Coturnix japonica: one gene and its partners. The protein of the gene in region 1 purifies or fractionates together with the protein of each later gene. This does not show direct contact. Links are inferred from orthologs where the notes say so. Each region holds a gene or a part of one and is shown in the gene's direction. Other genes may lie near its edges. The genes, in order: TRAF3IP2, CD40 and IKBKB.

Region 1 (3,643 bases):
TCTTAATTTGCCTCATCTGAAAAGAACAGTCAATACACCATATGAAAACTTGAAATCTTAAATCCCATCTGATGCCTGCTGAAGTCAACAGAGAGACCTCTGTTTGCTTCCCCAAGCTCTGGACTGAGTTCTTGGTTTCTCTGTAGAAAATCTGTTCTTGACATGGAGCTAAACCAGCAGCTGTTAATGTAGAGGATCTGGATTCAATGTGGTTTCCAGCATTTCGATCTTACTGTTTCAGAGACCATTGAAGAAATGCCGCTGTGTATCAGGCCTTACAGATTTGCTCCTAAAATGCCGTGTTGGGTGTTTGTGAAGAATTCTACCTGCTGGTAAGGTGCTCAGACAAAACGTGTTGCTCAAGGGGAGGAGCCATGCCCAGGTGCCTGCAGCTGAGCCTGCCCTTTCTGAAGAGAAACCAGCTCATTGGAGCTGCTCTATGATGAGGGAGTAAGAGTGTGCAGTATGATTTGTGCCAGCTGAGCACAGGGCCCTCCTTTCTGTCAGAGCAGCAGCATGTTCGCTGTGCTGCTGTAGATAATGGCTGCTCAGAGGACTTGTCTACATGGGAAATGTTGCCAACATCATTATGTTGCTATAATTATCCCAGGAAAACTCTCCCTGTGGATGTTCTTATAATGTAAGATGTGTATCTGGAATCTGTGGTAGATCTTCTGCATAGGTGGGTTTTATGTTACACAAAGGAAGAATATTTACATTGCGGCCCAGCAGCTGCAAAGCACAGTTTTTATCCTACTTCCCGGTAAATGTTACACTGAGTTTGCTATGCCAGAGGTACTTTCAGGGGGGAACGCACATCACTTCATCAGATCAGCACAAACATAAAGCCTTGCTCTCGCCCTGTGGGACTGGGCATGTTCTTTGCTTTTGTAAGATATGGCTGTGGGAGCCAGGGTAGAGGCTGGGGCACTGCCTTGTGCCTCCCTGTGATCCTGTTCAATTGTTTTTAATGCTGCGGCTGTCTGAGTATGTTCTTCATTTGAACTTTCTGTTCAAGCTGCTGTGTGACTGAAGCTGAATCCTTGAATCACTGAGATCTCCTCAAACATGCTGTGATTTTAACTTTCCTTACCAGGCTTTCAAGTCAGATGCTCTTGTCAAACACTGTCATTTCCGTTGCTGAGTGCTTAGACCATTCTTCAGAATGCTCCTATTGGGATGTTGGCTTTTTCCATGCAGTAGAGGGAAAACAGCTGGGGTCATGAGTCCCAGACTTGTTTCTCTGTACCCCATGTCAGGGGGTAGCACCTGGTGGGAGCAAGTTAATCTCCACCCCAATACCAGAGGATGAAGATGGCTGCAGAGATCAGCATGTTGACATAAAATGTGCTGATCTGTTTCTGTGCCAAAGTCTGTGAATCAAAGGCTTAGGTATGGGAAGCTGCATCAGCGCGTTGCTCTGCTGCGCTTTGGCCTCGGCTGCCTCCAGCTCAGGGTGAAGGACCAGGGGTGTTTTCCACTTCCTGCTTTAGTTCAGTGACCGTGTGCTTGAGCCTTCTTCCCTCTGTGATACCCGGTGACATACAGATATGGAAACTGATAGTGAGTGAACGTTGTGCCTTAAGCTTCTGCTGGTTCACCTGTGAGCTTCAGGAGTGTCACAGAGCCCTTTCTGAGCAGCCCAGCAGGCTGGGTAGGACAGAGAACACTGAAGAGAAGTTAAACTATACTTGTGCTTTCCAAAGGTTTTCTTTTACATCCAGCAGTGTTTTGTTTCAACATCAATGGGATGCTGTGTGTGAGCCTGCAGTAAGGCTTGTACTTCTCGTTCCAGTGGGTGAGTACGGCAAGAGCACATCACTCACCCGTCATTGCTGCTGTCATTCTAAGCAAAGGTGGAGTAGAGACGTCTGTCATCAGGGACTGTTTGGCTGGGCCAAACTTACTAACAGTATCCCCAAGGGCAGGGAGGATTTTGATGTCTGGAGCCCAAAGTAATTCTGAAGAATGGGGAAAAAAAAAAATAATCCAAACAGTAACCAAAGTCTCTAAATTGTCTTATAATTCTCAATAGTTTGAAATAATAACCGTGTTATAATAGAATGGATTAACTGGTTTGATAAAATAAACAGCATCGCTTAGAAGCCAGATGTGGATTTTGAATTGCTCAGGTATGTGTGCAGTGAAGTTCAGATCCAAGGGATCACTACAAAGCTATTATTATTAGAAGGTTTGGAGTAAAATGTGGCACGTGGTTGTATTCCTTGGAATATGCCTGAGCCAAATCTCCATACTTAAACAGCCTTCTCTTTTTTCAGGTGCAGAAATTACCTATGAGAGACAGTTCATGTGCTTCTTTTTCCCCTTGTCTCAGCAGGAACAGTAAGATTCAGAAATCCCATAAAACTGTCTGTTCTACAAAATGTGATTTCCAGAGCTCTAACCGGTATTTCTTTTCCAGTCCCTGAGATAGAGTTATTTTGGGATTATTGCCTGTGTGAAACTGTACCATCTTCACATTTCTCTTGTTTTCCAGTTTGCTGGAAAATTCTGACCTTGCAGCACGGCAGTTGACTCCCATTTCTCGTGTGACTACAAAACTGGGAAATGGCCTCTGTGTCAGGTTAGTCCTGATTCTAACACTGTGCTGCCTGCACTCCAGCCAACCCTCTCCTTTATTGCTTTGCCAAAAATTTCTACCTGTCCTTCTAAGAAGAACTTAACGTGAATATGAAGAATGCATACTGCTCTTCAGTATTCCAACTGACCGTCACTGAGCAGTGACTGGTAATAGGCACTTGTCTTTCTGGAGGTCAATCTATAGCGTTTCTTGTCTTTTCAGGCACTTTTGTGAGCCGAAGCATACCGGTGGAAGTGGATGAATCCATGCTGTATTCCCCATTTCCTGAACCTGTCTTGGAAGAGGCTTCACAGCCTTCTGTGGAGAATGTGGAGGATGAGGAGTGCCAGAGACCACGTGCCAATGCAGCACATCTCTGCAGAGCACTGGCGCATCACCAGCTGGCCATGGGGCCGGACAGCAGGCCATGGTCAGAATATACCGATCCTGATGGATGTGGGCGCTTCTGTTCTCCCAGTGAATCATTACTGGAAGTAGTTCGTTCCAAGATGCATCTTTTAACTATGGACAAATCAGACATGCAGCCAGGACCGCTGCTTTCAGCTGATACCAACTCCAGTAAGTCAGAGCGGAGCTCGCATGATGCTCCTGAGGACTCTTTGGAGGAGAACAACAAAGGGAGTTCATGGTCACAGCAGCCTTCAGGAGACAAACTCCCAGCAGAGCTGGCAACTGAGGACACAGGTTACAACTCCCAGTCCCAAGACATCATGGGTGTCAGGCACCTGGAGCTCCCCTTACCACTTGTGTCCATGGTGAACCCCCAGGACCTCCCAGGACCACTGATCTCCAGAGAGTTTTTTGGACCGGAGCCTCAGCAGGACCCCAGGTGCCAGCACTTGCCCCATCCCAACCCCTCTGCACAAGCCCATGGCTTCTGTGGGCACCGTTATATGGCAGAGCAGCAACTGCACGGCCCATGTAAGTAGCACCGCTCACCATGGAGGAGGTTTTCTGGAGGCACTGCGGGCATCATACACTGAGCTGGCATATTCCTACTGTATTTCCTTTGCAGCATGCAATTATTAACGAGTAAACAAT
Region 2 (4,100 bases), on another chromosome or scaffold:
GTATGGGGAAGTGTCTGACGGGGACGGGATGGGAAGTTCCACGGGGATTGCTGCGGGATGCAGGGCAGGCAGCCCGGCTGTGTGCAGCCTCAGGGCCCTGCTGTGCTTCTGCCTCTTCCCGTACTGAGCTGATGTGATTCTGGGAACTCTAAGCAGATGCCGGAGCCCATGGGGAGCACGGAAGGGCCCTGTGGACTTCTTAAAAGTGAAGTGAAACCTCGCACTTCTGCATGAGGAAGGAGCTGTCGGGGCCAGATCAAACATCTCCTCTGCTTCCCAGGGCAGATTCCTGCCTGCGGCCGCTCCTCCTTCACCCAGGAAGCAGCCGGTTACACGCTGACATCCACCCGTAGCTCGGCCGGGCCGGTCGCACCGTGCGGGGGAGCTGCGGGCACAGCCCCGGCCCCGCACGGCTCTCGGTTACGCTCTGAAGCTCGGGAAAGTCCCGGGGCGGCGGGTGCTGCCGGTGGGGACTTTGTCTCGGGACGTTCAGCCCGGTGACTGCAGGATGGGCGGCCCCTGCGGCCCCTTCCTGGGCGGAAACGGGTCGAGGCGTTAATATCGGCTGCCCGGCTCCGCACGGCTCGGTTCGATTCGGGTCGGGTCGGATGGGCGCGGCTCGGGCCATGGGGCGGCTCGGTCTGGGGCTGCTGTGCGCGCTGCTCCTGAACGTAAGTGCGGCGTCCCGCGGGGTGGGAGCGGGGCCGGGCCGGGGCTGCAACGCTGCGCTCCGTGATCACGGCCCGAAACGGGACCGGGATGCGGCGATGCTTTGCGGGGTGGGGGGGGAGCGCCCGGCGCCGTCGGGCCGCTGAGCTCCGGTCCCGGGGCCGCCGTCCAGCGCTGTGCCGGGAAGGGCTCGGGGAGCCCCTGGCTGGGTGCCCGGAGCACGGTTCCCACTCCCGGGCGTTGAGCTTCGTCGTTCCTCGTTCTCGTGGCTGAGATTCCCCCAGCAGGGGCTCGGCGGTCCCTGCCCTTCCAGCTCCATGTGCCTCCCCTTGTCCCACAATCCCCATCACGGGCGGTTGGGGCGCAGCTGTGGATTTGAGGTGCGGAGAGGGCGACGTGGTCCCTGTCAGCAGCAATCCCAGCCTGTGTCGAGGCAAAGCATGGGACAGGCATGGGGCGTGTTGTCCCTGCTGGAGGGGCTGAGCTCTGTTATGGGGTCTTGTGGGTTCGATGCAAGGCCGGGCCCTGGGGGAAGCAGGGGCAGGGTGGGGTGTCTGAGCTCACTTTTGGTTCCCCTTCCTGCCTGAAGTCACAGACACATGGTGGGGGGGGGGGTCAGTTCCCCTCTACAGAGTCAGGCATCCCAAGCTAGTGCCCCTTCACACCAGGACTGCCCACAGGACCGTGCTGGGGCTGACCAAGAGCAGACGCAGCAGTCTGTGTGGGTTTGATGCTCCTGCCCAGGAGGCACAGCTGGCACCGCTCCCCCTGCCCAGCACTGCTGCACTGGTGGCGCTGGCAGTCACCCAAAGTGAAGAGCAATCACCACCCCGTAGGAAACCTGGGAAAGCACGGGGCTGCCCTACAGGAGCCACTGCCATCCCACTTCAAAGAGAGAGCTGGCAGTGCCAGGCAGCGCAGGCAGATCTGCTGCGGTCTGTGGTTAGCCCAGGCATGGGAAATGTGGTGCAAGGAAAACCTCACCTTGGGGCACGACTCGGAGGATGTGCAGCTGTGCAGGAGTGTGGCAGAGCAGCATCTCTTCATGGGTCTCATCTCTTCCAGTGTGGGCAGCCTGGTGATGCTGTGAATTGCTCTGACAAGCAGTACGAGCACAAGGGCAGATGCTGCAACCGATGCCAGCCAGGTACAGAAATGCCTTCTCCTCCCTGAGGTCCTGCACCGTGGCTGCTGGGGCTGCATTTGGCAGTTGAACATCATGCCACAGTGGCCTCAACAGCTACAGCCCCTGGTGCTCCCACGTCCTGCTGTCAGATCTGCTGCCTGTGGGGGAAAGCTCCCTTTTCCCCCCTCACCAGCCCGTCTTGCAGGAAAGAAGCTGGTCTCTGAATGCAACGACACGGAAAACTCTGTCTGCACACCCTGTGAGAATGGACACTACCAGCAGGGCTGGACTAAGGAGAGGCACTGCACGCCCCATGACATCTGTGAGGACAGTAAGTGCTCCATGTCCCCAGCGTGTGGGGCTGCAGGGGCTGCACTCCATCCAGGCTCACTCTCACTTTGTCCCCACTCCCTTTCACAGACGCTGGCCTCATCGTGAAGAGACATGGAAACACAACACACAACACCGTGTGCCAGTGCCGGGCTGGCATGCACTGCTCTGATGCCAGCTGCCAGACCTGCGTGGAGAATGAGCCCTGCAAGCAGGGCTTTGGCTTTGTGGCAGGTGAGACCCAGCCACCCCTATCCCTGCCATGGGCCCCATGTGCTGGCGGCATCAACCTCAGGTGCTCCCAGAGATGGAGGCTTCCTCTGCATGGGGCCCTACCAGAGCTTTGTGAGGGCTGCATTGCAACCTCCACTCCCTTCCAGCCATGGCCGAAGCCCAGATGACCTCACCGTGTGAGCCCTGTGCAGAAGGCACCTTCTCCAATGTATCTTCTAAAACCGAGCCGTGCCACCTCTGGACAAGGTCAGTGTCAGCCACTCCCCACGCTCCATCCCTGTTCCTCTCTGCACATTCCCTGCTGTCACCTCTCGTGGCACTGGGACGAGGCACTGGGATGGCCTGTGCAGGGCAGGAGTGAGGGCAGCAGGGTGCAGTGAGACCCAGGTCACTGAGCTGGTGGCAGTTGTTGTGGTGTTCCCTCAGTTCATGGACTGCCAGACCCCGGGGGGGTTTCCAGGCCCAGCTCACTCCTGTCTGTAAAAAGTGGCTGAAAAGTTCCTCATGTTCCCTGGTAGAAATGTGAGCGTTACCTCTGGACTGTATTAGTCTCGCCTCAGCTGCCAGCCATTGGATTTCACTTTGCTCCTATCTATGGCCAGAAATTACCTCCCCACTGAGCCACTTTGTGGCATGCTATCGAGCCATCTCTGAGCTGTTCTGCAGTAGCTGAAGTGCCCCAGCCCCAGTATCCCCCTCCTGTGCCTCAACCCAAGGCACATGCCCACCTCTTTCAGTTCCAATGGCTTCTGACAGGGCCCTGGCATCTCCATCCCCATCCCACCCCAGGAGCCCCATTGCTGTGCCCTGACCATGAGCTCCCAGGGCCCAGGGGCTGCTGACTGCATGCTCTTGGCTCCCAGCCCCATGGCTGTGGGATTCCCACTGTGATGACACAGTCTCATTCTTTGCCTGCAGCTGCGAGGAAAAGGGGCTCGTGGTGAAAGTGAAAGGGACAAACACTTCAGATGTGATCTGTGGTAAGTGCTCCATACCCTGCCTGGTGCAGAGCTGGGATGGGCTGGAGTTCTGTGCAGCCCACTGAGTCCCCATCCCCTGGCAGAGTCGAGCCGGCGCTCATCGCTGTCAGTGCTGATCCCCATCACAGCTGCTGTTGTCACCTGCCTGGTGGGCATCTGCATCTACTGCCTGGTGCACACAGGTGAGGAGCCAAGTGGGGAAGGCAGCAGCAGTTCTACCAGAAACGGGGAGGCCCTTCAGGGGGTGTCACTGTGGCACCCAGCCCTTCCAGCTCTGAGCTCAGAGCTTGTTGCAGGGCTGGGGGCCAGGCAGGGCAGGACCTGCTCCAACAGCAGCCTTCTCTCCTTTCCCTGCAGACCTCAGGCGCCGTGGGCCGAAACAGGTGAGTTGGTTCCAGCCGTGGGTTGGGGTCCCTACTGGCACGGTAGGGATGTGTGGGCTGCAGAACGGGGGCTATCTTAGGGCTGTTCAATGGGGACGGGGCCACCAGGAACCCACACAGGGAACCCACATGGGGTGAGGCTCCTGTGCTGCAGTGGGAGTGAGTGCAGGAGGATCCCATGGAGGGATGCGGCTGCGGGCAGGGGCTGTGACTGCTGCTCCTGGCCCTGACCTCCTGCCCGCACACAGACTGAGGCCGAGATGCCCAGAGAGCTGGAGATGCAGCAGCCCGAGGAGGTGGACTTCCCAGTGCAGGAGACTCTGCTGGGAGGGCAGCCCGTGACACAGGAGGACGGCAAGGAGAGCCGCATCGCAGAGC
Region 3 (4,113 bases), on another chromosome or scaffold:
TCCCAAGTTAATTAATATCAATGAAGAAATGTTAGGACCTCTCATTTTCAGGACGTAAGTGCACAGAATCCTCTGTCAGCAAACATGCTGAGGGTCATTTTGCACGTTGGCAAAGAGGAAACTTTATCTTGAATGTTTAAGTCTTTTCTGTATGGAAACCTGTGTCAAGGTTGTCATATGCATCTGCACGTGTGAACATAAGTGCCATACATCTGCTTTAGGAACAAATGGGACTGTGTTGAGAAAGGTTGGTTGGGCTCTGCTGAACAAACGGGCTAATTTCTATCTCTTTTAAAGATGATTTTTTTTTTGCTATTGGAGTTCTAAAGTTCCTAATGAAGTAATGGCTTCCAGTGAGGATTTCAGAAGTTGTTATTTCCCAGCTTTTTGAGCTTAAGGTCAGCTGTAGCTTTCTAGAGAGTGGTGTGGGTGCTCTGTGTGCTTCTTACTGTGCTTTAGGAAAGCAAGCAGTAACAGCACCTTCCCCATTCAGCAGTGTCCGCTGCTTTACCTCCCAGCTGATCCTGCATCAGGACAGGGTTTTTTTAGAGGCTGCTAAGTTAGGATCCCTACGTACTGTTCAGCTGCTCAGGTGCTGCCTGAAGCCTCTGCTTCATCCCCGGTTGTGTTTAAGAGCTGTTTGGGTGTGGTACTCAGGGATACGATTTAGTGTAGGGTTTTTAGAGTTAGAGTACTATGGTTATAGGGTACTATGGTTATAGAGTACTATGGTTATAGGGTACTATGGTTATAGTGTACTATGGTTATAGAGTACTATGGTTATAGGGTACTATGGTTATAGGGTACTGTGGTTATAGGGTACTGGTTAGGCTACGGTTGGACTTGATGATCTTCAAAGTCTTTTCCAACCTGGGTAATTCTATGATTCTATGATTCTTTCAGTTCCACACCAGGTGCAAAATGCAGGAAGTGTAAAAGGCTTCAGAAACGTGTTTTCTTGCTTTATGTTGCCTGGATGTTGTGTTGAGGGATATGATTTAACTGGGAAGTATTGGTGATGGTTGGACCGGATGATCTTCTAGGTCTTTTCCAACCTTGATAATTCCGTGATTCTGTGGTAAGTACCACATCATTTTTACAATACATACCAACCACGGAAGGCGGCCCTACTGCAGCCTGAGTCCTACGTCTCAGAGTTTCTTCATTGGAAAAGCTGAATTTATTGCTCCTTATCGCCTTTGTAGCCCTCACTTGACGGAAGGCGGTCGCGGCCCCTTTAAGGCCGCCTCGTACCACGTGCCTCCGGAGCCGGAAGTGCCGGCGGAGACGGCCCAGGCCCCGCGGAGGCGCCGCGCTCCGTCCGCCATGAGCCGCCCGCCGGCTCTGCAGGCGCAGACCTGCGGCCCCTGGGAGATGAAGGAGCGCCTCGGTACCGGCGGCTTCGGCAACGTCATCCGCTGGCACAACAAGGTAGGAGGCGGCCCGTCCCGTCCCGCTCCGCCGGGCCCGGCCCGACCGGCGCTCAGCCGACCCCGCGCTGTGTCCGCAGGAGACCGGCGAGCAGGTGGCCATCAAGCAGTGCCGGCAGGAGCTGAGCCCGAGGAACCGGGAGCGCTGGTCCCTGGAGATACAGATCATGAAGAGGTGAGGCAGATAAATAGAGATCGTGAAGAGGTGAGGGACATAGAGATCGTGAGGAGGTGATGGGGAGCAGCGGGGCCTGGCGCTGCGGGACGGGCCGAGTGGAGCCCAACGCCCCCGCGCTGCCGGGCCCGGCCCTGATGGGCGCGTTATAGAATGACAGAATGACTCGGGTTGGCAGGGACCTCAAGGATCATGTAGTTCCAAACCCCCCTGCCTGGCAGGGCCACCGAACATACACATTTACTAGATCAGGTTGCCCAGGAGACCCCATAGATCCCCATAGAGACACCATAGACCCCATAGAGACTCCATAGATCAGGTTGCCCATGGCCCCGTCCAACCTGGTCTTGAACACCTCCAAGGACGGAGCATCCACAACCTCCCTGGGCAGCCTGTTCCAGGGCCTAACCACGCTCCTATGAAGAACTTCCCCCTAACATCCAACCTAAATCTTCCCTCTTTTAACTTAAAACCATTTCCCCTAGTCCTGCTATTGTCAGCCCTTTCCAAGAGTTTACTCCCCTCCTGGGAGTAAGTTCCCTTCAGGTATTGAAAGGCTGCAATGAGGTCACCCCGCAACCTTCTCTTCTCCAGGCTGAACAAACCCAACTCCCTCAGCCTGTCCTCACAGGGGCATAGGCGTTATAGTAATGGCTGCACTGAGGTACGGGCAGGAGGGGCGGCTGGTCCGGCATGGAGCGAGGACGTGCTGAAGGTCTTTGTTATTCCTGAGAGCTTCGGGTCTAAGGCTTTCCTCGTAGCAGCTCTGCTGTGTTAGCATCTGCACAGGGCTGTGCTGTGGGGTTCTGGGTTGGTTAACACGGGGTGTTGGGTTGATTAGCTCTTGCTAAACAACTTGCTGGGGGGTGATACCGGCCCGGCGGGGCATTGAGCTCGTCCTGTAGCTCCATGTCACACCTGTGATACATCTGTGGCACACATAGGGTGTGCAAAGAGCTGGAATGAGTTTGTAGGCCTGTGAGGGATGGATAAATTGCAGGCTGTTAGAGCTGACTTTCAGTTTCTAAAAGCATTAATGGCCTTATAGGACTTAATGTGACAACCATGACTGTGTGAGGCTGTGCAGGTGTGGTTCTGGTGCGGTGTCCATTTGCCTTATTTCTGTTTCTCAGGCTGAACCATCCCAATGTGGTGGCTGCCCGTGATGTTCCTGAGGGAATGCAGAAGCTTGCACCGAATGATTTGCCATTGCTGGCCATGGAGTACTGCCAGGGTGGGGACCTCCGCAAGGTGAGCTCACCAGGTGCTCCTGTGAGGTGCCAGTCATTCACTCACTGTCCTCTCCTTCCCAGTGAGATGGGGGAGAGAACTGAAAGACAAAAGTGGGACTCGGTGGGTTGAGATAAAAACTATTTACTGAGTCAGAGAATAGATCATTATTATGACAAATAAGCCTGGAAGAGCCGGCCCTCAGCCCCTCATATCCTGTTCACCATCAGTTTGAGTCAGCTGTCCTAATCCTGTTCCCTCCTAGTAACTTGGGCCTTTGCTGAGAATGGCCCTTATGCTGTGCAGTACTGCTTAGCAGCAGCTATAAACGTTGGTGTGTATCAGCATTGTTTTTCTTATAGAACCAATACACGGTGTCATGCCCTGCACTCTGAAGAACGCAGTACTGTCCCAGCTGCAGCTGAGACAGGTGGTGGTGGTGAAAGGTTAAAAGCTGGATTAGCTTCCCAGCGGAATGGAACCTAGGGGCTTCTTTTTAGGAGTTTCTCTTTAAAGCATATTTTCATGTTCTGATGCTTCCTAATTCTTTATGTGATACCAAGAGGATTTTACACGTTAGTCCTTGATAAAGTTCTGAAAATCTCTAGTGCTTTCTGAGGCTTTTGACTTTTATTTGTCTGCAAGTAACAATGCAGCAATTTTGCATGTAGAAGATGAGAGCATGTGTGAAGGATATGCAACAGGATTTGGAGCACGTCCAAGACCATTGTAGCTCAAGGTGCAGGCCCTGTCTGTAATAGGAAAAAAATACAGTTACTAGTGCTGCTTCTTATCTTACTGCTTTTTTAAACCTTCGCTATAACCTGCCCATAGATGAGACCTGTAACTTACAGCTGACTTTGCTATAACCTGCCCATAGATGAGACCTGTAACTTACAGCTGACAGTGCTATAACCTGCCCATAGATGAGACCTGTAACTTACAGCTGACAGTGGAGCTGGTATTGCTAGGCTCCAGGGGAAATGCTTATGAAGGACCCAGCAAAGTTGCAGTAACACTGACTTTCCACTCTCCCTTTCTCATCCTATGGATGCACTGAGGCTTGAAGCCCTAATTATTGCTAGGAGAGGTCCCAGCTCCATGGTTTTGTCTGTAAAAAAACAAACAAATAAAAAAAAACTTAATTGTTCATGCCTGAACATCTTGTGTTTTGAGAATACGTGGGACTGCGATCCTTCAATGGGATATAGGGTGGAGAAGCTGTCATTTTGGTGTTTTCTTGCAGTACCTGAATCAGCTGGAGAATTGCTGTGGTTT

What was found.
Region 2: the proteins of TRAF3IP2 (region 1) and CD40 purify together in Homo sapiens (affinity purification with western blotting, with the first as the bait; 3 studies listed by BioGRID). This does not show direct contact. The link is inferred for Coturnix japonica from reciprocal best matches to the Homo sapiens genes TRAF3IP2 and CD40.
Region 3: the proteins of TRAF3IP2 (region 1) and IKBKB purify together in Homo sapiens (affinity purification with western blotting; 3 studies listed by BioGRID, with this or other methods). This does not show direct contact. The link is inferred for Coturnix japonica from reciprocal best matches to the Homo sapiens genes TRAF3IP2 and IKBKB.

The regions. Positions count from the first base shown.
Region 1 is NC_029518.1:60,097,853-60,101,495, forward strand, and holds part of TRAF3IP2 (adapter protein CIKS), read left to right. Parts: intron 1-2,497; 5' UTR 2,498-2,568; coding exon 2,569-2,584; intron 2,585-2,803; coding exon 2,804-3,523; intron 3,524-3,643. UniProt on the Homo sapiens protein: E3 ubiquitin ligase that catalyzes 'Lys-63'-linked polyubiquitination of target protein, enhancing protein-protein interaction and cell signaling. Transfers ubiquitin from E2 ubiquitin-conjugating enzyme UBE2V1-UBE2N to substrate protein.
Region 2 is NC_029535.1:9,595,243-9,599,342, forward strand, and holds the start of CD40 (tumor necrosis factor receptor superfamily member 5), read left to right. Parts: upstream 1-1,278; 5' UTR 1,279-1,623; coding exon 1,624-1,816; intron 1,817-2,000; coding exon 2,001-2,126; intron 2,127-2,215; coding exon 2,216-2,359; intron 2,360-2,505; coding exon 2,506-2,605; intron 2,606-3,277; coding exon 3,278-3,339; intron 3,340-3,422; coding exon 3,423-3,521; intron 3,522-3,696; coding exon 3,697-3,722; intron 3,723-3,970; coding exon 3,971-4,100.
Region 3 is NC_029537.1:4,085,783-4,089,895, forward strand, and holds the start of IKBKB (inhibitor of nuclear factor kappa-B kinase subunit beta), read left to right. Parts: upstream 1-1,264; 5' UTR 1,265-1,326; coding exon 1,327-1,431; intron 1,432-1,510; coding exon 1,511-1,605; intron 1,606-2,738; coding exon 2,739-2,856; intron 2,857-4,081; coding exon 4,082-4,113.